Linked DNA regions of Tamandua tetradactyla. The protein of the gene in region 2 interacts with the protein of the main gene of each other region in a biochemical or structural test. Links are inferred from orthologs where the notes say so. Each region holds a gene or a part of one and is shown on either strand. Other genes may lie near its edges.

Region 1 (8,097 bases), on a different chromosome or scaffold from region 2:
GGGCCCAGGGCCTCCACTTTTCCCAGCAGTTGGAGACAGGCAGGAAGCCTGGTAAAATTCAGGGTGGCGACACCTCCAGGAAGCCACAGGGAGGCCCGAGTCACAGCCATGGGTCGGTACCACCTGAAGCTACCAGGAGAAGTACCTCTGCCTGCTGAGGGCTTGGCAGCCATTAGGCAGGTAGTTGGGCACCCCGGACAAGTGGTGGGCAGAAAGGGAGACGCAGGTGGAGCTGACGGGCTTGGGGAGTTGGGCTTGGCCTGTACGTCTCGCGCCCACTCCCCCCACCCACACACTGTCTTCATTTGCCACTGGACCCTGTGGGTCAGGGCAGGCAGCCCCAGGCCCGAGCCCTAGGCAGGGGAATGGACGGGTGGCAGGCAGGGCACAGTGGTGCAGGGGCAGTCAGCGCCTGCCCAGCTCCTGGTCCCTGCCTTCACAGGCCCAGCCCTGCAGGCGGCCAAAGAAAGGGTGGCACGGCCTTCTCACTCCCCACTCAAAGGGGGCGGGAGGGCAGGTGTGGACAGGGCCCCGGCCACATCTGAAGGGCACTCTCACAGTAACAACGTTACCCAGGAGCTGAGCCGAGACCTCTGCGAACGTTTCTACCACTTCATACGTCCCCACCACCCAGCGCGGTGGCCCTGTGCTGTGCAAGCTCCTGGTGAGGAAGCCGCGGCGCAGTGACCTGCCTGAGCCCACCGCTAGTCCTTGCAGAGCTGTGGGGTCACGTGAGCCTAGCTGACCGCAAAGCCTGCCTCTTGCGCTCTGGAGGCGGGTGCAGCATGAGGCATCTTTCCTCTTGGACTGCAAGGCGGGGTGAAGGCGGGACAGGGCCAAGGAAGGGAGCTGTCATAGAAAAAACAATTGCCCCGTTTCCTCAGCACCTGCTGGGTGACAGGCCTGGGCTAACGAGCTCTTTTGGCACCACCAAGGCAAGGGGAACTGACCGCCTAGCTGCCGCACGTCCCTGGTCTGGCCCGGCCACTCTGGGATCTGCCCAGTGTCCCGCCTGCCCACCACTGCTGGGCACTGGCAGGAGCACGCCCCGAGGGTGTCGGCTTTCCGCACCTGTCTGGTCAGGCTGCCTGGGAACCGCTGCCCAGCCTGGAGGAGATGAGTCACCCGGACACACGGCCTGATGCTGGTGTCAACCAGAAAACAAAGGCCACAGTCAGCAAGGGGGGGGGCTGCAGGCTCCCTGGGCGGCAGTATGTGGGGCCCTGCTGCGGCCCCAGGCCCACCTCGGCAAGAAAAGCCCGGAGGAAGAGGCCGACTGCTCACACCTGGAAGGAGAGGAGAGGCGGAGGGGCAGCTCCCAGGTGCACCCCAGCTCTGCCTACACACTGGGCAGAGACCTCCCTGGCTGGCTTCCTACGGTGCGGGCAGTCTACAGTGGACCACAAGCAGGCAGGCCTGAGCCTATGCGGCGTGTGACCACGTGGAAAGTTGTCCCCTCCTGGCCCTGGTTTCCTTGAGAAGGCCGTTAGTGGGCTGACGGACATCCTCTGACAAGCTCGCTTGCCTGGCACTCCTCCAAGGCCCCGGGTTCCTGTTCCTCGGATCTCCATGGAAACCCGTGTCCTCTGGTCAGTGACCGCCCGACTCCTGACTTCCTGTCTCTGCTGAGGTCTCTCCTGGGTCTGGCCACTCAGCCCTGGCCTTTCCCCAGAGCACAGCTCTGGGCAGCAGTGTCTCTCCATTTCACGCTCTCTGTCACCTCCAACACACCCCAGAGTGCATGGCAAGGTCATCAAAGCAGGCCCCCAGGCATCTGACACCAAGAGCACAGTAAACGGCTGCCTCCTGGCTTTGTGTCCAGGGGCCTGGGGGGACCCCAAAGGGGACAGGATGGGAAAGGACTCATGCGGCCCATCGACCTCTAGCGGGCTGTTGGGACTTGGGGGAGGGACACAGGCCTGGTGGAGTCTGCCCCCTCCAATTGATAAACGGCAGCCTGCGTGGCTGTGAGCTGCTGAGCCAAGGCAGCTGGCTGTGGGGGAGAGGGCCAAGCACCCAGCTTCACTGGCATGGGCTGGAGGACAGGGCCCCTAGCCCCCACCCAGACCAGCCTCACAGCCCCTACTGTGAGGAGAAAAGCCCAAGGGTCTTGGAATCCTACACCTGCCATTTACCACCATGGTATCACGAGCCCATCAGCTAACCTTCCAGTCTGGGTTTCCTCATCTGCAAAACATTCAGGCACGATGACAGACGTAAAGGGCCTGACAATACCTGGCAGAGTGCAGGGCCACGGCGGACCCATCACCTGCAGTGGGCACAAAGGTGCGTGGACTGTGCTTCCCATGGCGGGGGTGGGAACCCAAGAAAGAGAAGTAAGAGTGCCTAGGAGGCCACCACCCACCCATGAGGAACACGGCAGCCAGTGTCACCTGGACGTCTGTTCATGCTGCAAGGATGCCTTCAGTCCCTGGGAGCACCCAGATCCCCCCAGCTCCTCCACAGGCGCTTGCACAGGCTGCCCCATGGGATTGGGCCAGAGTGCCCACTCCACGTGTGGGCAGGGGCCGAGACCCTCTCTGCTCAGTGAAGGCTGGGGATGGTGCACGGTGACCCCACTTCCAGTGCACCAGGGCCTGGGGCTGCTGGTCAAAAGCCACCCCAGGCTGCCCTGCTCCCACAGGCCCTGGGGCAGGAGCAGGGACGGCTGGAAGGCCTGGGGTGGCTGGCAAGGCAGGGCCCCGACTCCCCCAAGGCTTCTACTTGCTGAGCAGAGTCTGCCCCAGACAGAACCGCACAGCTGGGCCACAGGGAGCACTGGGCTGGGTGTGCGGGAGCGACGAGCAGACCGCTAAGGGTGACAGCACCCCTCTGCTATCAGCTCCAGACCGCCAGCAGAGAGAACCCTCACTGGGATGATGGCACCAGAGCCCGAGCCCACCTCAACCCACCCCTCCCACAGACCCACCCAGGGGGAGGGAGGGAGAAGGAAGAGCCAGAGGAAGCCCCCTTTTGACCTGGTCTGGAAGGCAGGGCAGCAGTCAGGAGGTGGGCGGGTGGGGGCTGGGGGCCCCGCAGGCAGCGCCCCGCACTGCTCCAGCTCACAGCAGAGCAAGTCCTAGTTTGGACAGTGAGCGGCGGTGGCGGCTGCGCCTCTGCCCCCTCCCCCCGCCACCCTCCCCCCAGCCTGAGACAGCCGTTATGAAAATAACCCGTTTGGTAACCGACGGCACTTCCTCTCCAGCAGCGGCTCCAAGCCCTGCAGCGAGCAGGCGGCGGGTGGGCGGCTGAACCGGCACACTTGCGCACGCACGAGCCTCGCCTCCTGGCTCCTTCTCCCACCGTTCCCAGAGCCAGGCTGAGCGACAGCCCGGCGGCCTCCCCTCCAGCCTGGTCCCCGGCAGCCCGGCCATGCCCAGACTGCAGGGGGAAACCAGGGGCCTGCGTGAGAACCCCAATGCCTGGGCCTCAGGGGAGGGGAGCCGGCCATTCGCCCTCCTGCTCCCACTGGGCAGGTTTCTCGGGTGCAGGGAAAGGGTCAGAGATGGCTAAGCACACCAGCTCCAGAAAAAGCCACACAAGTAAGCACTGGTGGAGTGTTTCACAGATTACAAAGCACTCCCCACCATGCATTCCCCTGAGCGGGCGGACACCCTCGAGGGGCCGGGCGGGGACTCCTGGTCCAGTCCCTTGGGCCCTGGCTCTGGGCAAGAGGCAGGACGCCCCGGGGGGAGCCCCACACCACACGCTTGCCCCCAGCAGGCTCACCACTCCGGCTCACACTCCTGGGACGGCCCCTGAGGGTCCAGAGCAGCAATCTCAGACTTCCAAATCTCAAGATCCCTTTACACTCTTAAAAATTACACTGAGGATGCCGACGACACTTTGAGTACATTATAGCTCTCAATATTGACCCTGCTAGGAATTAAAACCGAGAACTGTTTGAAAAATCCATTTAAAAACAATAAGCCCACTACATGTTAACATAACACACTTTGGGGGGGGGGGGCGCTGTATTTTTTAAAAAACAAAAAGTTAGAAGAGTGGCATTGTTTTACATTTTTGCAATCTTTAATGTCTGGCTTAACAGAAGACAGCTGGATTCTCCTATCTGCTTCTGCATTCAATCTGTTGCAATATGTTGTTTTGGTTCAAGTATATGAAGAAAATTCTGTCTCACACTGACATCCATTTGATAAAGGGAGGAATATTTTTAATAGTCTTTTCAGAATAATTATAGATATTTTTCGTTGCTACACGCCAAAATATGACAAGAGGCTGTTTCTTAAACGGTTAGCTGCAATGTGGAATCAGAAACAACACTGATGAACTTTTCGATGGTCCATCCTGCACTTTGGAATCTGTGGCATCAAGTAATGGTTATTGGCAAATATTGGTTTATTGAGTTATGCAAGTTTTCCAAATGTTGACAAGTTTCATCATACAACACAATATCAAAAAAGTGACATTTGCCAGCATCACTGAAGATCTCATCAGAAAAGTTCCAGTATCTCCCAAAAGCCCAAATTTCCTCAATGGCAACAAATACTGATCCAGTTGTTCAAATGTCTGCTCGCTTTATTCATTTTCAAGATAATGTCTGCCCAACAGCCCAGTCTGAACAGCGCGCTGACTGTTATTGAGAGTAAAACGGTGTCCCTGACAACAACAAACAGGACAGCCTGCAACTCAAACAGCAGCACAAGAGCTTTTCCTTAAAGTGGCACCACAGTCCAGTCTGTAGTGGAAGCTGATTTTTGTATACTTCCCATTTCTTTGCCAGAATGCTAAAATGATACCTACTCAGGGTCAAGACTCCCAAATCAATCATTTTTATTGCGCTTTTTCTTTTTTACTGCAAACGTGTGGCATGACATGCGCGTGAGTGCCGACTCGCACGTGGTGGGCCGCGGCCTTGACTTGTGCTATGGCTCCAGCAGTTTACCCACCATCGCTTTTTTTTTTAACCTTTTTTTCTATGAAATATAACATATATCCACAATCTCAGGTTTTTCCTTCTAGCTGCTCCAAGACACTGGAGACTAAAATGATTATAATCATTTTATGAATTTGAATATGGACTTTATGAATATAATGATTCAGCAGCAGATTCATTTGTTAAACCCGACCTTCTCCATATATAATGCCACCATCACCTTTGATCATTCTCCCACTCTTCAGGTGTATTTGGGCTATGGCCATTCTAAGTTCTCCATGTTGGAAGGGACTGTCAGTAATAAGGGCTAGGGGGATGGAACTAGCTGATGTGCTGGAGAGGCTGCGCCCTCCGCATTTCAGGACTTATCTGGTCCAGGGGTCCATCTGGAAGTTGTAGGTTTCTGGAAAGTTGCCACAGTGCCTGGAACCTTTGCAGAACCTCTGAAAGAGTGCTGGGTGTTCTGCAGGGTTAACAGGAGCAGTTTGGGTTGGGGTCTGGCAAACCCTGGTAATCAGCATTCCAGCTGAAGCTTGTGTAAGAGCAGCCTCCACACTGGGAACCCCTGATTCTCACTCAGGTTGGATTGTACGATGTGCAAAAACTGTTTAAAAATTAACAGAGAGATAACAAGAGCTGGGGGAAATGTGGAGAAAGAGACGCACTATTCATTGTTGGCTGTGAAGAAGAGAGGCGCAGCCCCTCGGAAGGCACTGCGGTGACCACAGGAGGCCAGGGGTGGGGTTACCATTGGACCCTGGAACCCCGATGCTGGATATATACCTGGAGGAATTGAGGGTGGGGACACCAATGGACATTTGCACACCGGTGTTTCTGGCCACGGCATTCACAATTCTCAACAGATGGAGGTGGCCTAAGGGTGCAACGACCGAGGGATGGAAGGGGGAACTGTGGTGTGTACATGGACTACTGAGCAGCTGAAAGAAGGAATGAAGTTGTGAGGCATGCAGCTAAGTGAATGAACCTTGAGGACAGTACGCCGAATGAAATGTCAGAGACAGAAAGATAAATATCATCATGCCCCACACATACGGACTAACTAATATACAAACCCGGAGAACTGAAATGGAGGGACCGGGGCCTATTGTAAAGGTTCCGAGATTGCAAGCTCTAACAGCAGTCACATCTATTCCAAAGTTGTAACTGTTATTTCTAAATTCTGAGATATTGAGCTATTTGTGTATAATCTGGTCATTCCCTGGAACTTCGTGGATTTGTGTAACATCTGAGACTCAGAACTACAGCTCTGAAAGTCAACATTAGCCCATACAACAACTGTATAAAAAGTTGAAAACGTGATCGGACTTCACCTAGAGATATGAATGAAGTTGATCTGGACAGGACTAAGGCAAGCCAGACTAAAGGGTAAAGGATGATATGGTCTCTATTTTAAAATTTCAACTTCTGTGTGAGACCAAAGGCAGAGATGTTTATTTGGTACAAAATTTATATTTTTGGTAGCGCATTATCTAATTTAACTTGTATTAATTGTGTTCATTCAAACACTGTAATTACATGGAATCCTGACCAGGGTGTGAGATGTCGTTGGTTTGTCCAGGTTAGCGTGATGTCCCGATAGATCCCAGAGTAATTCGGGCAGAGAATAAAAAAGTATTTGCAAAGTCCCCTTGGGAGACTGGGGAGAAAGGAGGAAACATTAAACTTCCCCATCTGGGGAATTCCTGATATTCTTGCAAGTAATGGGAACAACCAAATCAATAGGGAGACCTTGATATTGGGGTTTGTCCCCATGAATCCTGCAAAGGACAGGCTAGGCCTAGCTAAGATTACGCCTAAGAGTCACCCCCAGAGAACCTCTTTTGCGCTCAGATGTGGCCTCTCTCTAAGCCAACTCGGCAAGTGAACTCACTGCCCTCCCCCCCCACATGGGACATGACTCCTAGGGGTGTAAATCTCCCTGACAACGTAGGACAGAAATCCCAGGATGAGCCAGGACCTGGCATCATTGGATTGAGAAAGACTTCCTGACCAAAAGGGGGGACAAAAGAAATGAGACAAAATAAAGTCTCAGTGGCTGAGAGATTTCAAACAGCTGAGAGGTTACCCTGCAGGTTATTCTTCTGCATTATACAGACATCCCTTTTTAGTTTATGGTGTATTAGAGTGGCTGGAGAGAAGTGCCTGAAACTGTTGAGCTGTGTTCCAGCAGTTCTTGATTCTTGAAGACGACTATATAATGATACAGCTTTTACAATGTGAGTGTGTGATTGTGAAAACCTTGTGGGTCATGCTCCATTTATCCAGGATACAGACAGATGAGTAAAAAAATAAGGACAAAAAATAAATAAATAATGGGGGGGCGCCAGGATAAAGGGTAAAAAAATATTGGGTAGATTACAATACTAGTGATCAATGAGAGCGAGGGGTAAGAGGTACAGGATGCATGGATTTTTTTCTTTTTTATTTCTTTTTCTGGAGTGATGCAAATATTCTAAAAATGATCACGATGATGAACACACAACTAGGTGATGATATTGTGAGCCAGGGATTGCACACTTTGGATGAACTGTATGACACATGAAAATATCTCAATCAAAACACTAAAAAAAAAGTAGGCTCCAGAATAGCTTCTCAACTCTATGTGAACTCTACCACTGATACCTTATTTGTCACACTTCTTTTCCCCCTTTTGGTCAGGATGGCATTGTTGATCCCACGGTGCCAGGGCCGGACTCATCCCTGGGAGTCATACCCCACACCAGGGAGACTTTCACCCCTGGGTGTCATGTCCCTTGCAGGAGGGTGGGCAATGATTTCACTTGCAGAGTTTCTACCATTGCTTTTTTACCATCAGTACAAATATTAGCAAAGCAAAAAAGGCAAATAATGCCTTTGTATTACTACGAAAATGGCTTAAACCTCACCAATTTCTCACAGAGCCTAGGGCATCTGCCGCACCACTACAGGTTCAGAGTGACTTCCAAACCCCGCAGCCGCCTGGCAGATGTGGCTCTTGTAGTGTGGCACTAACTGGACCTTCTGAGCCTTGACGCAAACCCTGGGTTCTAACCAAGCCGATCTCTTCTCCCATGCCCATCTGGCAGGGCCCAAGCTCTCTGCTGTGCCCTGTACATGGCAGTCCTTCCGCCCGGTCTGCAGGTTCCCCTCCCCATCTCGACACAGCTGCTCCAGCCACAAGCACATCACTCCGGGTCATC
Region 2 (7,565 bases):
TAAAATTGATGATGTGCTTGTTAGTTGACAAGGGCACACCAGAGAAAACAGAATCTGCTCAGCCTCCTGTTCATGCCCCACCCCCTTGTCTCAATGCTTCATCTTTAAAATCTGGAGTCTGACCGCTTCCACACTCATTTCACACTCAGCATGTCCCCCCACCTCCACCCCCGACCTCTTTGTGAACATGTCTGTCTTTCTTAATCATCTTTGCATCCCTGGCTGTGCCTGCCTCCAGCACCTACCTTAGTTCTTAACAAGAACTAAGCATTTAATCAATATGTATTTGCACAGGGCAGGCCTCAAATGAAGAGCTTTGCATTGCAAGCACCCCTCCTGCTCCTATTTCACTCTGTTCTCTAATTTACACCCAGAGATTCAAGAGCTCTTATTTCTTTTTCTTCACTCTTCACATGACTATTTGAAAAGTCCCCCTAAACATGCTCAAACCACCCATTAGGAAACAGTACCACAATTACAATGATCATATTTTCCAAACCTAAATATTGGAGCCTGTGTTCTGGCTGGTAGAGGTTTACTTAGTGGTATTAGGAAGTCATAGTAAACGTGGGATTGTCCCTGAAAATCCACAAACATAAACTGCTGGAACTCAAAGGGAACAAGGATGTTCTGCATTGTAACCCTCCCAAGCCCTGCCTATGGGATCTGGCCCAGCCTATCTTTCCAATCTCCTTTCCTACCTCTCTCTTCCCCAGCACTGCCCCAGCCATGCTGACCTCCTTTCGGTTCCTTGAACCAATGAGCTTGGCTCTGTTTCAAGAGCTTTGCACTGGCTTTTTCTTCTTGCTAGAACCCTCTTTGCTGGATCTTTGCACGGTATCCATCTCCCCATCATTCAGGTCTTAGTCTAAATGTCACCTTGTCACAACGGCTTTCTTTAAGAGCCACCACCTCCAGTAGCCCCTAGCCTCCAGTGGCTCTGGAGCCTATTATTCTGACTTCATTTTCTTCCTGGTATGTACCTCTACAGGGAAGTATCTTATTTAGGTGTTTACAGTCTGTCTCCACCTCCCCTCTCCTACCCACTACAATGTAAGCTTCATAGGGCAGGTCTTTGATGGTTTGCTTGCTCCCATATTCCAGTACCTAGAACAGTGCCTGGCACCTGGAAGGTATGCAATAAAACTGAAATAAATGCAGAAACACCGCTCCTTCTGGCACACGCTGCTGCTCTCTTGAGTACCCTTGGCTGAGGGCCGTGCAACCTGCTCTTGTGAGTTTAAGTCCATCCAAATATCTTAGGGAATTGCACATATCATGGGAAAGATGCATAGAAAGAGCTTGGTTTGGGCTGGGTGGGAAAGGAAAGTCAAAAGTTTAGGGCAGGGCCACGGTGGCTCACTGGCAGAGTTCTTCCCTGCCATGCCGGAGACCTGGGTTAGGTTCCCAGTGCCTGCCCATGCGAATAAAAAAAAAAAGGTTTAGGGCAGAAAACAGAAGCAGAACAGGGGATGCTGCTAAGCAAAACAAATCTGGTAAAAAAAAAACAAAAAAAAAACCCACAATTGTAAAAATAAAAATTAAAAGCAGCACAGGGTGGAGATGTGTTTCAACTGTAGTTTCTGGAATACTGAATTGAACTGGTAGTCAGTGAAAGGTTTAAGAGGCGAAAGGGTGAGAAAGAAGGAAGGTAAATCGGGAAATTTAAAGCATGCAGGTGTATTTCTGCGCTCCGGGGCTGAGCTCACCAAATCCAAGATGGAGGGAGGTGAGTCAACACCTGGGCGATGGCATGGGCAGTTTTTAAGCAAGGGGTCAGGTGATATCCGGAAGGGGCGGTTCTCCAGAAGTCAGGTGTCCAGAAGGGGCGGTTCATCAGTTCCGGAAGTCAGGTGTCCAGAAGGGGCAGCTCCAGAAGCCATGTTGGGAGGGGTGACACAGCCTTGGCAGCTCCAGTTGCAGTGCCGTTCCCGATTCTCCTGACCTACCAGTCAGGACATCCCAGATTTAGACTTGACTTTGCCACAAATGCTTCCAGAGGTCAGTCGGTGCCTCTCTGTCAGCTTTACATGCTTCATCTATAAAATGAGAAAGCTAGAAGTCTCTTCCATCCTTTCCAATGATGACTCTGTAAAAGGAGAGACAGCAGGGTGTATAACCTGTCCAGATTATAAGTATTAGGGTTCTACAGTGAGGTTGAACCGCCAAGAACCAAGGTGTAAAATAAGTAAGGTCTCATTTTGAAAGTCAACATTAACAATCAGAGGTCAGATATGTGCAGAATTGTCTGGGAGATAAGGCAGTCTTTTAGGCCGGCGAGACCACAACAAGCACCAGTTTCAACATAATAGCATGTTTAAAGAAAAATAGAATGTGCCAATAAGGAAAGGGTGGGGGGTTCTGTAACCTTAGAGAGAAGGAGAGGCCACAGGCAAAACCCACCTCTGCCCTTCCACATAAGGTCTCCGCGAAGGGCCTGACCCAGAGTTTTTTCCCCCTTGAGAGGTGAACGTAGGAGCTGTAGCTAACAGGCTGTGAGTACTTTCCAGGGACATTGCTGGCCGATGGTTAAGAGTTCAGACTCTGGAAAGAATGACTGGATTCTAGTATTCATTCTGCCACTTACTGGCTACGTGACCCAGACAAATTATCATTCCTCTCTGCGTCTCCATTTCTTCACCGATGAAATGGGGTTGGTGCTAATAGTACCTTGCTGGGAAAATTACCTAAGTTAATTTGTGTCAGAACTTACAACATGGCCTGCTATTATAGTTTCATTGGCAAAGCTATCTTTGCTAAGATACATGCCTCGGGCCTAATGATATTAAATTCTTGATTCCTCTCATTCTGATGTCACTTTCAACATGCCACCTACTCCCTCCCATATAAGTTTGCTTATACAGGGGGAAAAAAGTATTAATCACAGAGACCCTGAGAATTTCCCAACCCAGAGCCTGTAATTTCTCATGGCACATAGACAAATCACATCTGGTTATGCCTGGGTCTCCCACATTGCCTGACCACAGAGACAGGATGCTTGGATGATGCTGACAGTAGATTTCTGGATTGGGGAAGTTCTGTCTTGATTTCTAAGTCAACACACTGCCATTCTGGTCCCTACCTCCCTCTTTACAGGAGTAAAGGAGTCTTTACAGTGTGTTTGGGTCAAAAGGCCAACTCAGGCTCTGATTTCCATGTACAGTGATGTATGTCCTGGACTGTAAAGCAGAGGTACGGCCTACATCAGTTCCTGGGTGAACTTGTAACCTGTGCACAGAGGCCTGGAGAGCCCCTGTGGCTGCTGTCCCTGCATGAAGAATAGAGAACTTGTGGAAAACCAGTGGGTTAAGAAATATAGGAAAGGAGGGAGCTGTACACAGATACATTAATTCAAGGGCTCCTCCCAGCCTGCCTGCAGTGCTCTACCCAACCCCTTCAAAAAAAAAAAACATGCAAACGTTTTCATTTCATTCTGTGACTCTGCCTTTAGAGTTCAGCAGAGTTGGGAAGCATCCTTGAATAAAATGATGAGCTTCCTGACTTATTGAAAGAGAGCTTTCGATGACGTTGGTGCTTGTCAGTGAGAATGTGTTCAATAAGATTTCCTTCCTCCCGACACCTAGTTAAGCTGAGTTTACCTTGAGGAATTTGCAGATATGTGAGTTTTGCTTTGTTCTGTTTTTGGAGCAAGGAGTGTAAAGGCTGTGGGGAGCTAACAGAAGCATGAAATACTTTGAGAAGCCTAGGAGATCTGCTAATGTCTGGGGAGAACTCTAGAGGCTCAAGATTCTGAGGCCTCTCAGGTGGAAGTTTGGCTGTGACATGGGTTATGTTGGCTTTCTCTGACTGCCAGTGAAGGTAAAGAACAATTATAATATTGTCACCTTGGAAAGATGCAGGCTGCGCTCCATCATTGTAACTTGTAGAGAGACTTTTGAGATACAGCCCATTCTAGCTGAGTTTTCAGATGGGGGACTTCCTGTATTGGATCTGGGGAAGAAAGAGAAGGCCCCAGAAGCATTTGGTGTGGCACTGGGTAAAAAGCTAGATCTGAAGCATAAAGCATATCATGTGTTAGAGCTGAGAGCATTTGTCCCTGGGCTCTAGGGCAGGCAGTGACCTGTTGGAGACACGGGGCCACCAGTGACCCCTCACCGGAGACTGGCAGAAAAAATGTCCCGCATCTGAGAAGAAGAGGTTCAGGGAGTTCGGGTTATGCTGACGCTTCTTTCTGGGCTCTGGGGACAGCTGGGACCCTGTTGACTGTCCAGAGCCCAGGGCCTCGGTCGGGGTCTGCCGTCCTCCTGAAAGCCCTTGCGGAGAGGACAGACAGGTAGGAACCCAGCCAGGGAAGCGAAACCTCGGTTTGAGAAAGCCAGAGATAGGAGAACTGAGTCTAAGATACAGTGGTGCGGGGAAGGACTGAGGACGCCCAAGCAGTCCGCACAGACCCGGCAAGGGTGCGGTGTAGACGCCCGCGGAGAAGGAAGAGTTGAGAAGAGAGGGTTGGGGGGGGGGGGGTGTGGGGTGGAGAGGAGCGGGACCCGGAAGGAGCTGGCGAAGCGGTCCCTGCGGCGACGTGCGCTCCGAGCAGCGCGGCGGGGAGGGTCCGAGCCGGCGTGTGGCCGTGTGACCGCCGAGGCTGCTGCGGCTGGAACAGGTGAGCGGCCGCCAGGCGGTCGGTGCTCGCCCTTGCGGGAGAGCGCGCCTTCCTCTACCGGCTCCCACAGGCGCTAAGCTGCTCCGCCGCTCCTCTCGGTCTGGGGTTTTGCAACTGGCAGCCGGCTTTTTGACCGCTCCCCCCTCCAGGCTCTGTCTCTCCTTCTTCTTTTAGGTTGCTCCACCCCGCCCAGGAGCAGACGAGGGGGAACCAGCTGGGCTGCGGCTGCCAACTCGCGCCGAGTGCGTCTGCGAACTCCCGGGGTGGAGTCCCGCGTCCTGCCACCGCCCTGCGGGGCGCGCTCTCCTCGCTTCCCCGGGCCCCGCGTCCCCCTGCCGCGCCAACCCTTCCCCACTTTTCCCCCCTTTTGCAATCGCATGGCATTTTAAGAATGCCGGAAAGATGGCGGTAGCGGCGGCGGCGGCGGCGGCGGGGCCGGCTGGCGCGGGTGGCGGCCGGGCGCAGCGGAGCGGGCTGCTGGAAGTTTTGGTGCGGGATCGCTGGCACAAAGTTCTGGTGAACTTGAGCGAGGACGCCCTCGTTCTGAGTTGCGAGGAGGGCGCTGCGGCGTACAATGGCATCGGGACCGTCACCAATGGCTCGTTCTGCAGGGGCGCCGGGGCCGGGCACTCGGGCGCAGGCGGCGCGCAGCCCCCGGACTCGCCCGCCGGCGTCCGTACAGCCTTCACCGACCTGCCGGAGCAGGTGCCCGAGTCCATCTCCAACCAGAAGCGCGGCGTGAAGGTGCTGAAGCAGGAGCTGGGCGGGCTGGGCATCAGCATCAAGGGGGGCAAGGAGAACAAGATGCCCATCCTCATCAGCAAGATCTTCAAGGGGCTGGCGGCGGACCAGACCCAAGCCCTGTACGTGGGCGACGCCATCCTGTCTGTGAACGGAGCCGACCTGCGGGACGCCACCCACGACGAGGCCGTGCAGGCGCTGAAGCGCGCGGGCAAGGAGGTGCTGCTGGAAGGTAAGGGGTTAACGCCGCACCGGACGCGCCCACACCCACTGCTGCTCCCACTCGCGCACTCGCACCCCCGCACGTGCCATCGTGCTGCAGGTGTCCGGGGAGGTGGGGTGGCGGGGAGTTGCGACAACTTTTACCCACATGGGGTCTACTTCTCTCCGCCCCTGGAGTCTTTACAGGCCTTGACCCAGGAAAGGTGTTGGACCGGAGGCCAGATGAGTAGGATTAGCGAGCTCCTACTGTGTGCCAAGCACCGGGCCCGGTGCTTGGTGCACGTTGTCTCATTTTATCTGCAGATAGTGTGCGTGTAGCGTAGGGACTGAGGAGCTGAACGGGAAGTGAACGGTAGGCTTAGAGATACTCACCCGTCGCGGTTGCGAAGCGGGCCCACCGGGTAATTGCAACTCGTAGAGTTTTCCGCTTTGGCAGCATTTCCCTCTCAGAAGCCCGGTAAACCAGCAGAAATGGGTTGAATCATAAAGGGGCAGAGAGAGGTGGCAATGTGTGGATGCTAAAATTCTAAGCGCCTCTCTTCGCCTCTGCAAATTGGGAGAGCGCGTTTATGCCCGGAAAGTTGTGCCAAGGGCTGGGAAATTGGCTGCAGGTGTTTTTTTTTTTTTGCGAAAGTTCACTTCTGCCCGATGTCTGAGGGATCTGTCTGGATTCCGGATTGCTCTGGGTGTGAGGGATGGGTGAGGTGGTTTTTCTGCCCCTCTCTTTCCGTGGCTTTTTTGGAAAGATGTGGAAACAACTGTGCATTTGCAAATAGTTTCCCATGCATGTGTAGCGCCTTTGAACCCACTTTCCTGGGATGGGGTGTGTCAATCCACTAATTATTGGATGTGAATAGAATAGGAGTAACTGCTGTACCCGTTTGTGTATATGTATGGGGTTGTGTGGTGGAGAAGGGCAGTAGGTATGAAACCCATAATGCAGTGGCCTTTCCATTGTATTTTTCATTTGATGACTGCCTGTCTGTACTTTAGCACTTGGTGCTTGTGGCTATCAGCACTGATTTTGTGTAATTATTTTTGTCTATTTACCTAGCTTTCTCCTAACTCTAGATCACGTTTCCTGAATTTTTATTCAGATGTGGGTCACGCTTGAGTGTACAAGCTCAATCACATGTGTTGTGAGTGAATGAATGAATAAATGAACCCGTAGCCATTAAAACAGAGTGTTTCAAGTTGAGACCTCAGAAACTGGCGGTTGATTTAAATCTTAACTCAAGGCTTAGATCAGTTTTCTAGATGGGGTGCTGGGGTGTGGAACTGAGAATGTTCCGAGTTGGGAAAGCAGCTTCGTTACCTGGCCTAGAATGCAAAGAGCTTATTTTGCTTTTGTTACTGTTTTTCCTCCTTACTTGTATACAGGCTCTGTATTGTCTTCATAGTTAATCACCAGCCTGGATCCAAAAAGTGGAAGGCTCTTTGCTTTGGCCTAATGATTACCATAAGTAAACAGAAAAATATTTCCTTGATTCGAGTGTGTGTTGGTTTGTGTGGCGAGTGGCAGGTGGGATCTGAAGCAAGTGTAGTTTGGACTATAAACTCCTGGAAACCTGATCAGCTTGCAGTACTTACTATAAAATATCAGGGGGTAGGGAGGGGTGGACAAATGGAGGGCATTTTTACTTCAGGCACCGTCCTTTATTATATCCCTTCCTTTCTTCCTTTCTTTGGTTTCAGTTTAATGAATAGTGACTTGGTAAAGAGGTAAAAACAAATCTCTCTCACCCTTTGAAAAGAAAAGGTGGTTCCCTGCATTTGAAAATCTTAGGTAAAGGAAAGAATTCCAGCAGTTGAGACTGTTGAGACTGTAACTGAAAAGTGGGCTGTGGGGTAACTCTCACATGATGTTCTTAAGAACATCGTGTCTTGTGGAAGGACCTCTTGGAACAACCTGTGGACTTCCTGAGCGTGGCTGACTCAGTGTAGTAGTATTATCTGCAGCTTGAGTTTACGGAAAGAGACT
Region 3 (7,799 bases), on a different chromosome or scaffold from region 2:
TTCATCATGTCTGATACTTATTCCTTTCCATTCATTTAACCCCAGACAATAAAAATAATAGCTAATGCTTTTTGAATGCTTACTTTGTGCCAGACGTTTCGCTAAGTGCTTTGCTTTACTGTGTTCACTCATTCAATTGGCACCATCATGTTTGCAGGTTGTTACTAGGATTGTTGCCACTTGCCAGAGGAGGCAACTGAGGCACACAGAGCGCTGCAGTGATGTGTGCAGGTCCCACTGCTAGGAAGTGGTGGGGTCAGGACTCAAATCCAGGCAGTTTGGCTCCACAGTTTCACTCCAGGCGGCAGCGGCGGTTCTCACGTTCACCCTGAGATTGTAGCAACTCGCCCTGAGTGGTTACTTGTGCAAACCAGGAAGGGTGACCTCCTTGAGTGGAAGAGAGTGTCTCATGCCACGGGGATCCATCGGGACACAGGACTTGCATCATGATGGGTCCATCCTCACCCGGAACATGGGGCGGATGCAGGAAGCAGGACCCAGAGCAGGCATATATATTCCAAACATATTTGAATTTTCATTTCTTGCCATCTCTAGCACTCCCACCTTGGTCCAAGCCATTGTGATTTAAAAAAAAGTTTTTAATTGTATTACGGTAACATATATATAACATAAGATGTCCCATTTTAACCACTTTTTAGCATCCAATTCAGCCATGTTCATTACTTCCACAGTGCTATGCTACTAGTGCCCCGTGATCTTTTGCCAGGCTTGATGCAGCACTCCTGCCTCACTCTGACTGCTTCCACCGGGGGCCTCTCCAGTCTGTTCTCCACTCTAAACCTACCGGTGTTTTCCTATTTCACTCATAGCAAAAGCCAAAGTCCTTCCAAGGGCCTGCATGGTCTGCACTCCCCTCTCCCATCACCTCTTTCCCACTGCCCTCACTGCCTCCAGCCACTCACACTGGCTCCACGCAGTTCCCGAGGCAGGCGCTCACCAGGCACACGGTGCCTCAGGACCTTTGCACGCATTTGGCATGCCCAACACCCTGACTGCTCCTCCCCAGACAGTTCTCCAAGCCTGGACATAACATGGAGCTCCCCTCACCTAGCAGCTCCCTCTCCCGGACCTTTCCTGCTTTTGTTTTCCCCTTAGTGGTCTTCATGGCCAGACATACTACATATTTTATGAATTTATTAGTTTATTCTCTGTCTCCCAATACTGGAGAGAACATTTTACTTTTTGTCTGCTTTCTTCACCACCCCAGTACTGAGGGCCCATTATCCCCAGTACTGGGCGCCCAGTGGGCAGGTGTTTTAGTTTGCTAAAGCTGCTGGAATGCAATACACCAGAAATGGGTTGGCTTTTATAAAGGGGATTTATTTAGTTAGAAATTTACAGTTCTAACTAAATAAATCCGAGGAAAGGCGGCTAGCTTTCATCTGGGTTCCTCTGTCACATGGGGAGGCACACACAATGTCTGTCTGGCCTTCTCTCCTGACTTCTGGGTTCAAACAGCTTTCCCTGGGGCGTCTCCTCTCTGCATCAACAAATATCTGGGTCTATATCAGCCCTGAACACTGAGCTGAGCTGTGTTGAGCTGCTTTGCTCTCTTCTGAGTTCTCCTTTTAAGCCTCCATCTGATCAAATTAAAACGTCACTCATTGCAGAATGCACTCCTTTTAGCTGACCACAGATGTAATCAGCCGTAGAGGAAATTCACATGCTGATGATTTAAGTCCACAGCAACAGAACAACTGGACATCATCACCTGGCCAAGTTGACACCTGAACCTATCAGATCAGTCAATAAATATTTGTTGACTAAATGATTGCATTATGGAGTGGTTTGGAGAATTAAATGTGCTAATATATGGAAAGCATTTAGAACAATACTTAGCACAGAATTAGGGTTTAATAAATGTCAGCTCTTAATAATAACATGCTATTGAATAGATGGATGATTGAATAAATTAGATACTATTACATTATCATCAGGTAATGGAAAGAAGATAGTCAAGCCAAAGATATTTTAAATATTTAAACTTAAATTTGTAGTACATGCTAGAAGATATAATTGGGGATGTCATTTGTGCTGTTTTCTCCTATTATCTAGAAGGCATACTACAACCCACCCTTGCTTGGGCAGGTGCATGGTCCCCAAACATTTTCACATTTTAGAATCACCTGGGAAGCTATTAAAAAAACAAAACAAAACTGTGACACCTGGCCCCCACTCCCAGTTACTCTGATTTAATTGGTCTGGATGAAAACTGGGTGTTAGGTTTTTGGTTTTTTTTAATGCTCCCGTGGTGATTGTGATGTGCAATAAAATTTGGGAACCACTGCTGTAAGCTTTTCGCAGAACTGGCTACAACAAGGGGAAAGCCTTCCCCTGTCCCTCTCTGGGCTTGGAATTCAGAGCGAGGCCAACCAGCATTCAAATCTCTGCTCTCCAGGCTATGGGTGTATTAGCAAGTCCATTTGCTTCCACCAGCCTAGCCTTGCTCGTTTATATCTGCAGTGTGAGCTGTGGATGCTGAGAACCCAGAGCTCAAGGCCAAGCTCCAACAATGGGGATACTCCTTCCTACCTTTCTTTCTTTCTCCCTCTCTCTCTCCCTTCCTTCTTTCCTTCCTTCCTCCCCTCCCTTTCTTCCTCCCCACCCAGGGCCCTGCCTGAGACTTGTGCCCTGAAGACAGGGGCCCATCCCACGTTGGCTTTGCTGGTTTCATCAGGGTTTTGAACTCTGTCCTACCGATGGCCTGGCCTCTCCATGGGACCGCCTGCCCACCTGAGGTCTGCCCCCCCACCCTCATCTCCAAGCATGCACCCCACTTGGTGGCTGGGTCTAACCTCTGGATCCAGACAGACACTTTCAATGTCACATAGAGCAACCCCTCCTCTTCTTCCCTGTAACGTTGCTGTTCTGAGTGTGGATATTTCTAGAATAGTGGTGGTACAGTGGATAGCCCACTACCAGCGCCCTGGACTCAGAGGGTCCCCACCCTGGGTTGAATGCTCTGCTGTCACCATCTTGAAATTCTTGGTCATTTTTGAACAGGGAAACCCACATTTTCATTTTGTACTGTGTGGGCAGACGATGTAGCTGGTCGTATTGACTAGACTCAGAATCAGAAGACCCAGGTGTGACTTGCACCTGGCTCACACCTTAGGAGGGTATGCCCTGGAGCCAGTTAAATTTGCTCTCAGCATTTGCAAAGAGGGGATGGGGGACAGGCTACATGTCAGTCCTCTGTGCACCTCTTTTCACCTAGCCTTCCAGATCCCAAGGAGCTAAATCAAAAAGACATTTCCTTTCTGCTTAAAGGGAGTTTAAACTTTGCTTTTCCTACTGAGTGATATATGCCTAAAGAACAGATCCTAGAGGAGTCTCATTGATGAGACTTGCCTCTTATTAATTACTCAGAAGGACTACAGGACTTCTCCTCCCCTGTTTTTCTTGATTACATTTGAACAATATGTTGTCCAGATGGCATACAGAGTAGCATCGTCCAATGTCCTTAAAAATGATCTTCTTTTACTTATTGAAGAAGATTAGAGAGAGAGCAAATTGAATTAGGCCCATGTCGTTGAAATAATCTTGGCTTATGTTGCTTTAAGGAGATTTCTAGCCTTCAAGCTAATAACTCTTCCCCAGAAGATAGCTGCTGGGATAAGATGCCTGGGTAAGGACTTCATTAAGAGTCACAGGAGTTGATTTTAAGCCCTTCTCTCTGGCACACCAGCCACGGGTCCTGAGTGACAGTCAACTGTTCTTTGATCTCAGCTTCCTTATTAGGAAAGTTTAAGTAATAACACCTGCTCTGCTCCCTCATTCTCAAGGTGGTTTTGTGGATCCCATGAAATATCTGTGGAAGCGTGTTGAGAATTTTTGACTACTGTCCAAATTACAAGTTTGGACTATCGGTGAGACTTCTGAAGTTGAGCTGTTAACCAAAAATTCATGTAAATCATTTGAAAAGCATTTCGTAAAATAAATGCCAAGAACCAGATTCTAAACTCCATGGGAAAAGGGTATGCATTTGATATAGGATAGCCTTTCACCACCAAAATGATCCATGACGCTCAAATTGCATTGGAGCCTGGAACCACAGATGTCACCTAGGAAACGTCCATGTCACTTTGAGACTCTTCCTCAACATATCAGTTATAATTTGATGGTTTTCCTCAGAGAAATATCTTTTTCTCTATTAATTCAGTTAGTTATTAGGCATCTACTATGGGCCAGGCACTGCTGTAAGCACTTGGAGTAAATCAGCAAATAAGAGAAATTCCTTGCTCTCATGAGTCTTACATTCTAGAGTGGAGAGAAAAACAATAAAAATAAGATTACAAAATAATTATATTCTGCAGCATGTTAGCAGGTGATCAGTGCTATTGAAGAAAAATAAAAAGAAGGAAAAGGTGCACAGGGATTGTGACTTAAAAAGAAAACTCTTTTAAGAAGATTATATTTGAGCAAAGATATAAGAGAGATGAGGGTAAGCCACACAGATATCTGCAGGACAAGCATTCCAGAGAGGGGGAACAGCTGGTGCCAAGGCTCAAAGCAGGCATGGGCCTAGAGTTTTCAAGGCACAACAGGGAGGCCACAAAGATGTTTCCCCATATCTTCTCCACTCTCTACCAAACAGAGCACAGAAGGCTCAGAAACTAGACAATTTGCGATTGTCGGGCTAATGTACAATACATGCATTGATGCCTCTTCTCTTGTGTGTGTGTTTTTTCTGCAGTCACATGACACAGGCAATCCCCTTTGATGACCCTCGGTTAGAGAGCTACCAAATCATCCCTCCAGCTCCCCGGAAGGTGGAAATGCGGAGGGACCCCGTGCTGGGGTTTGGTTTTGTGGCAGGGAGCGAAAAGCCAGTGGTCGTTCGCTCAGTAACACCAGGTAAGTACCCAACCCCACTCCTTGGTCTTCTAGAGCCATCTGCCCCAAAGATGACATAAGCAAAAGCTTGAAATGTGTTTATGCAGTTGGAATTGTTTCTTGGGCTTTGGTTATGGCCATGAGAAGTTTCCCCCTGCGAGGTAGCCGCTACCCCTTCAGCCTGAGCCCCAGGATGAGCGCATGGGGCAGCAGGTCTGCAGTCTGGAGCTAAGTGCAGCCTGACCCACAGTTTGAAGCAGAACTACCCAGCTGAGCTTGGCCAAGTCCAATCAGTCTGTCGTATTAAAGACCTGTGAGCATGAGAAGAAACGACTGTTGGGCAACCACTAAGTTTGTCAGTTTGCTGTGCAGCAAATGCAGACTGATGCACACAGGGCCAAATCTCTTAAATTCTGTAATCTGGTCAGAGAAGCAACGTACTTTGCCTTGGTCATCCTCATGACGAACAGGTATACACGTCCCACTATCATCTCACTCTAACGCAGTAGAGTTAATGCAGGTACCTGAAGTGGGCTGCCTTTGCCTTTCCCGAAACAATGCTTTTGCATTTATTTATTGTATGATTTATGTACTTGTTTTACTGTGCTTGTATTGGATTTATTTTCAGACAAAAGGAAATTTTCTTCCATGCTGATTATCTTTTGCAAATCAGTAAGAGTTCAGTAGTAAAGTACTGTAGTTAAGAGCAAATTCTTCCTCTGTGCCTTATTAGATATTTTTTAGCTTTCCTGTTATTTAAATGCCCTGCATTTCATTTTAATGTAACTTCCCTACATCATCTGAATAATGGGGATCACGGTAGTGTCTACCTTACAGGGCCATGGTGAGAACGAAATAAATTAGAAGAGTGCTCAGTACATAGTTAACACACTACAAATGTTTATCATCATCATCTTTTAACTCTAAAATATTTGGCCAGTTGAATCTATCAATTAAGGAAAATACAATCAACCATTCTAGACTTGTGCTTAGAAGAGTAAATTTCCTTTACACTCCTACCATTGTCTTACCACACACTCCTTCCTTTGCCTGCTAGAGCTCTTTATTTTATTAGATATAGATAACAGTTTAATACTCCATGTGGGATTATCAAGCCTAACATTATTGAGAGTTTTATTCTTAAACTGGTTTTGTTGCTTTTTGTGATAACGAAATAATACATGTGTTTTGTAAAAAAAAAAAATACAATGTAGACAGTATAAAGGAGAAAATTTTTTTAAAATCACCTGATTTCCTACTATCAAGAGAAAACCATGTGTAATAACTATAATTCAGTGTGTATACATACACACACAAATACACTCACATATTATATATATATATATATATATACACACACACACATATATACATATTGTCTGTATAAATATAAACATAATTTTTCCCAAATGGGATCATATTAGGCATGCTGCTTTGTAATACCGGTGTATTTTTAGATCCCTGCTTATGAGATTCCGCAAAGTATATATCCTCCCAGGAGCTGACTAGAGACTCTAGCCATGTTTTTCATTTTCTTGCATTGCCTCCCTGTTCCTTCAGCCTCTTCCCTTCCTTGGCCTTGGCCCTCTCTGAAGGTTCAAAGACACTAATACCTACTGTTAGACAATTTTGAGAAGAGTAGAAAAAGTGAAAACAGAGGTCAAAGAGAAATGTTTCCAGTCAAATTTATGAGTGAAAATGTTGGTCAAAGAAACTGTGTCTATCATAAAAGCAACTCTACCAAAGTCCCAAGTGATTTTGGTGGTGTGACCTGATTTTCTATACTAGACAACCAAGCCTTCAGAGCAAAGGGCATGAGACAATTCTCTGAAGCATGCCCCTGTTTCATATCTTGGAAAGAACTATGTGTTGCTTCCTCCAGATTTCTTGATTTAAGTTGTTTGATTAAGTAAGAATCTTTCCACTGGATTGAAAAGCATTGGTCAAATGTAAGACAGTGTCCCATTAATTTTAGAGTAGTTTTCTTATGGGAATAATAATGATCCATCAACCAAACAGTTGATTTGAAAACTATTCTGTGTTTGGGCAACATTTGATTGCTAAGCATTTGTTTGAGTGAATTTGAGTGACTGCATGCCCATAATCCAATAGTTATGATAAGTTTCCCTAGGGATTTTCCAAATCCCTGATGTGTGCAAACACTGAATTTTAGTTCCCACATCTGTGAAATGAATATTTTCTATCACTGATATGGGGCCATGTTAAAGTTTTCCCCACTCCCCTACTTCCCAAAAGGAAAACAAGTTTTTTGACAGCTTGAGGGACACATACGCCAAGTTTCTGAGTGGGTGGGAAGCAACTGAATTACTTTCAGTTCCATGTTCAGGGCATGAAGTGTTCATTTTGACTACTAAATAAAGGAACAGCAAAAATATTTGAAAGATAACATTTTAGCAGGACGTGTCATTCGGTGATAGACCTCTGGGAACAGATAGATCTTATATAGATAGAAATGTTAGGGTTATCCAGATGACCAAAGTTCCATTTAAATGCAGATGTGTGGCTCACACAGATGTGGCTTTAAGCATATGTGTCAAGAGACCTGGTGGCAACAAGTCTTTCAGTTATGGGAGCAGGGTTAAAAGAGGTGTTGGCCATTCTGAACTTGGAAGATCCAAGCTGAGATCCAGTCCTACTCCTTCAAGCCAATCTCAGCTTGCGTTAGCCTCAGTTTTCTCACTATATGGAAAGGATTATAGTGTACAGTTGGGTTTAGTAGGCAAAGCATTTAGCTCATTGCTTGGTGCATAACAAATACCCAGCAAATATTAGTTCCCTACCTTCTCCTTGGAAAAACAACTGAGAAAGAGAGAAAAGCAGTCAGGCTCCTACAGCTGGATCTTGGTTTTCTGTTGAATATGGATAATTTCACAGAGCATCAGTATCAGACAAGGCCACCCTGCAAACTACGATGGAGCAAG

What was found.
Region 1: the proteins of SNTB1 (region 2) and DGKZ form a complex in vitro, tested with the Homo sapiens proteins (2 studies listed by BioGRID and IntAct, with this or other methods). The link is inferred for Tamandua tetradactyla from reciprocal best matches to the Homo sapiens genes SNTB1 and DGKZ.
Region 3: the proteins of SNTB1 (region 2) and FRMPD4 interact in a test that uses a peptide from one of them, tested with the Homo sapiens proteins (2 studies listed by IntAct, with this or other methods). The link is inferred for Tamandua tetradactyla from reciprocal best matches to the Homo sapiens genes SNTB1 and FRMPD4.

The regions. Positions count from the first base shown.
Region 1 is NC_135334.1:123,054,196-123,062,292, reverse strand, and holds the start of DGKZ (diacylglycerol kinase zeta), read right to left. Parts: upstream 3,092-8,097; 5' UTR 2,489-3,091; coding exon 2,394-2,488; intron 2,278-2,393; exon of another isoform or gene 1,287-2,277; intron 1,145-1,286; coding exon 1,072-1,144; exon of another isoform or gene 951-1,071; intron 850-950; coding exon 693-849; exon of another isoform or gene 1-692. UniProt on the Homo sapiens protein: Diacylglycerol kinase that converts diacylglycerol/DAG into phosphatidic acid/phosphatidate/PA and regulates the respective levels of these two bioactive lipids.
Region 2 is NC_135332.1:165,260,547-165,268,111, reverse strand, and holds the start of SNTB1 (beta-1-syntrophin), read left to right. Parts: upstream 1-4,506; 5' UTR 4,507-4,621; intron 4,622-4,795; 5' UTR 4,796-5,023; coding exon 5,024-5,594; intron 5,595-7,565. UniProt on the Homo sapiens protein: Adapter protein that binds to and probably organizes the subcellular localization of a variety of membrane proteins. May link various receptors to the actin cytoskeleton and the dystrophin glycoprotein complex.
Region 3 is NC_135353.1:162,685,709-162,693,507, reverse strand, and holds the start of FRMPD4 (FERM and PDZ domain-containing protein 4), read left to right. Parts: upstream 1-4,708; 5' UTR 4,709-4,721; coding exon 4,722-4,878; intron 4,879-7,799. UniProt on the Homo sapiens protein: Positive regulator of dendritic spine morphogenesis and density. Required for the maintenance of excitatory synaptic transmission. Binds phosphatidylinositol 4,5-bisphosphate.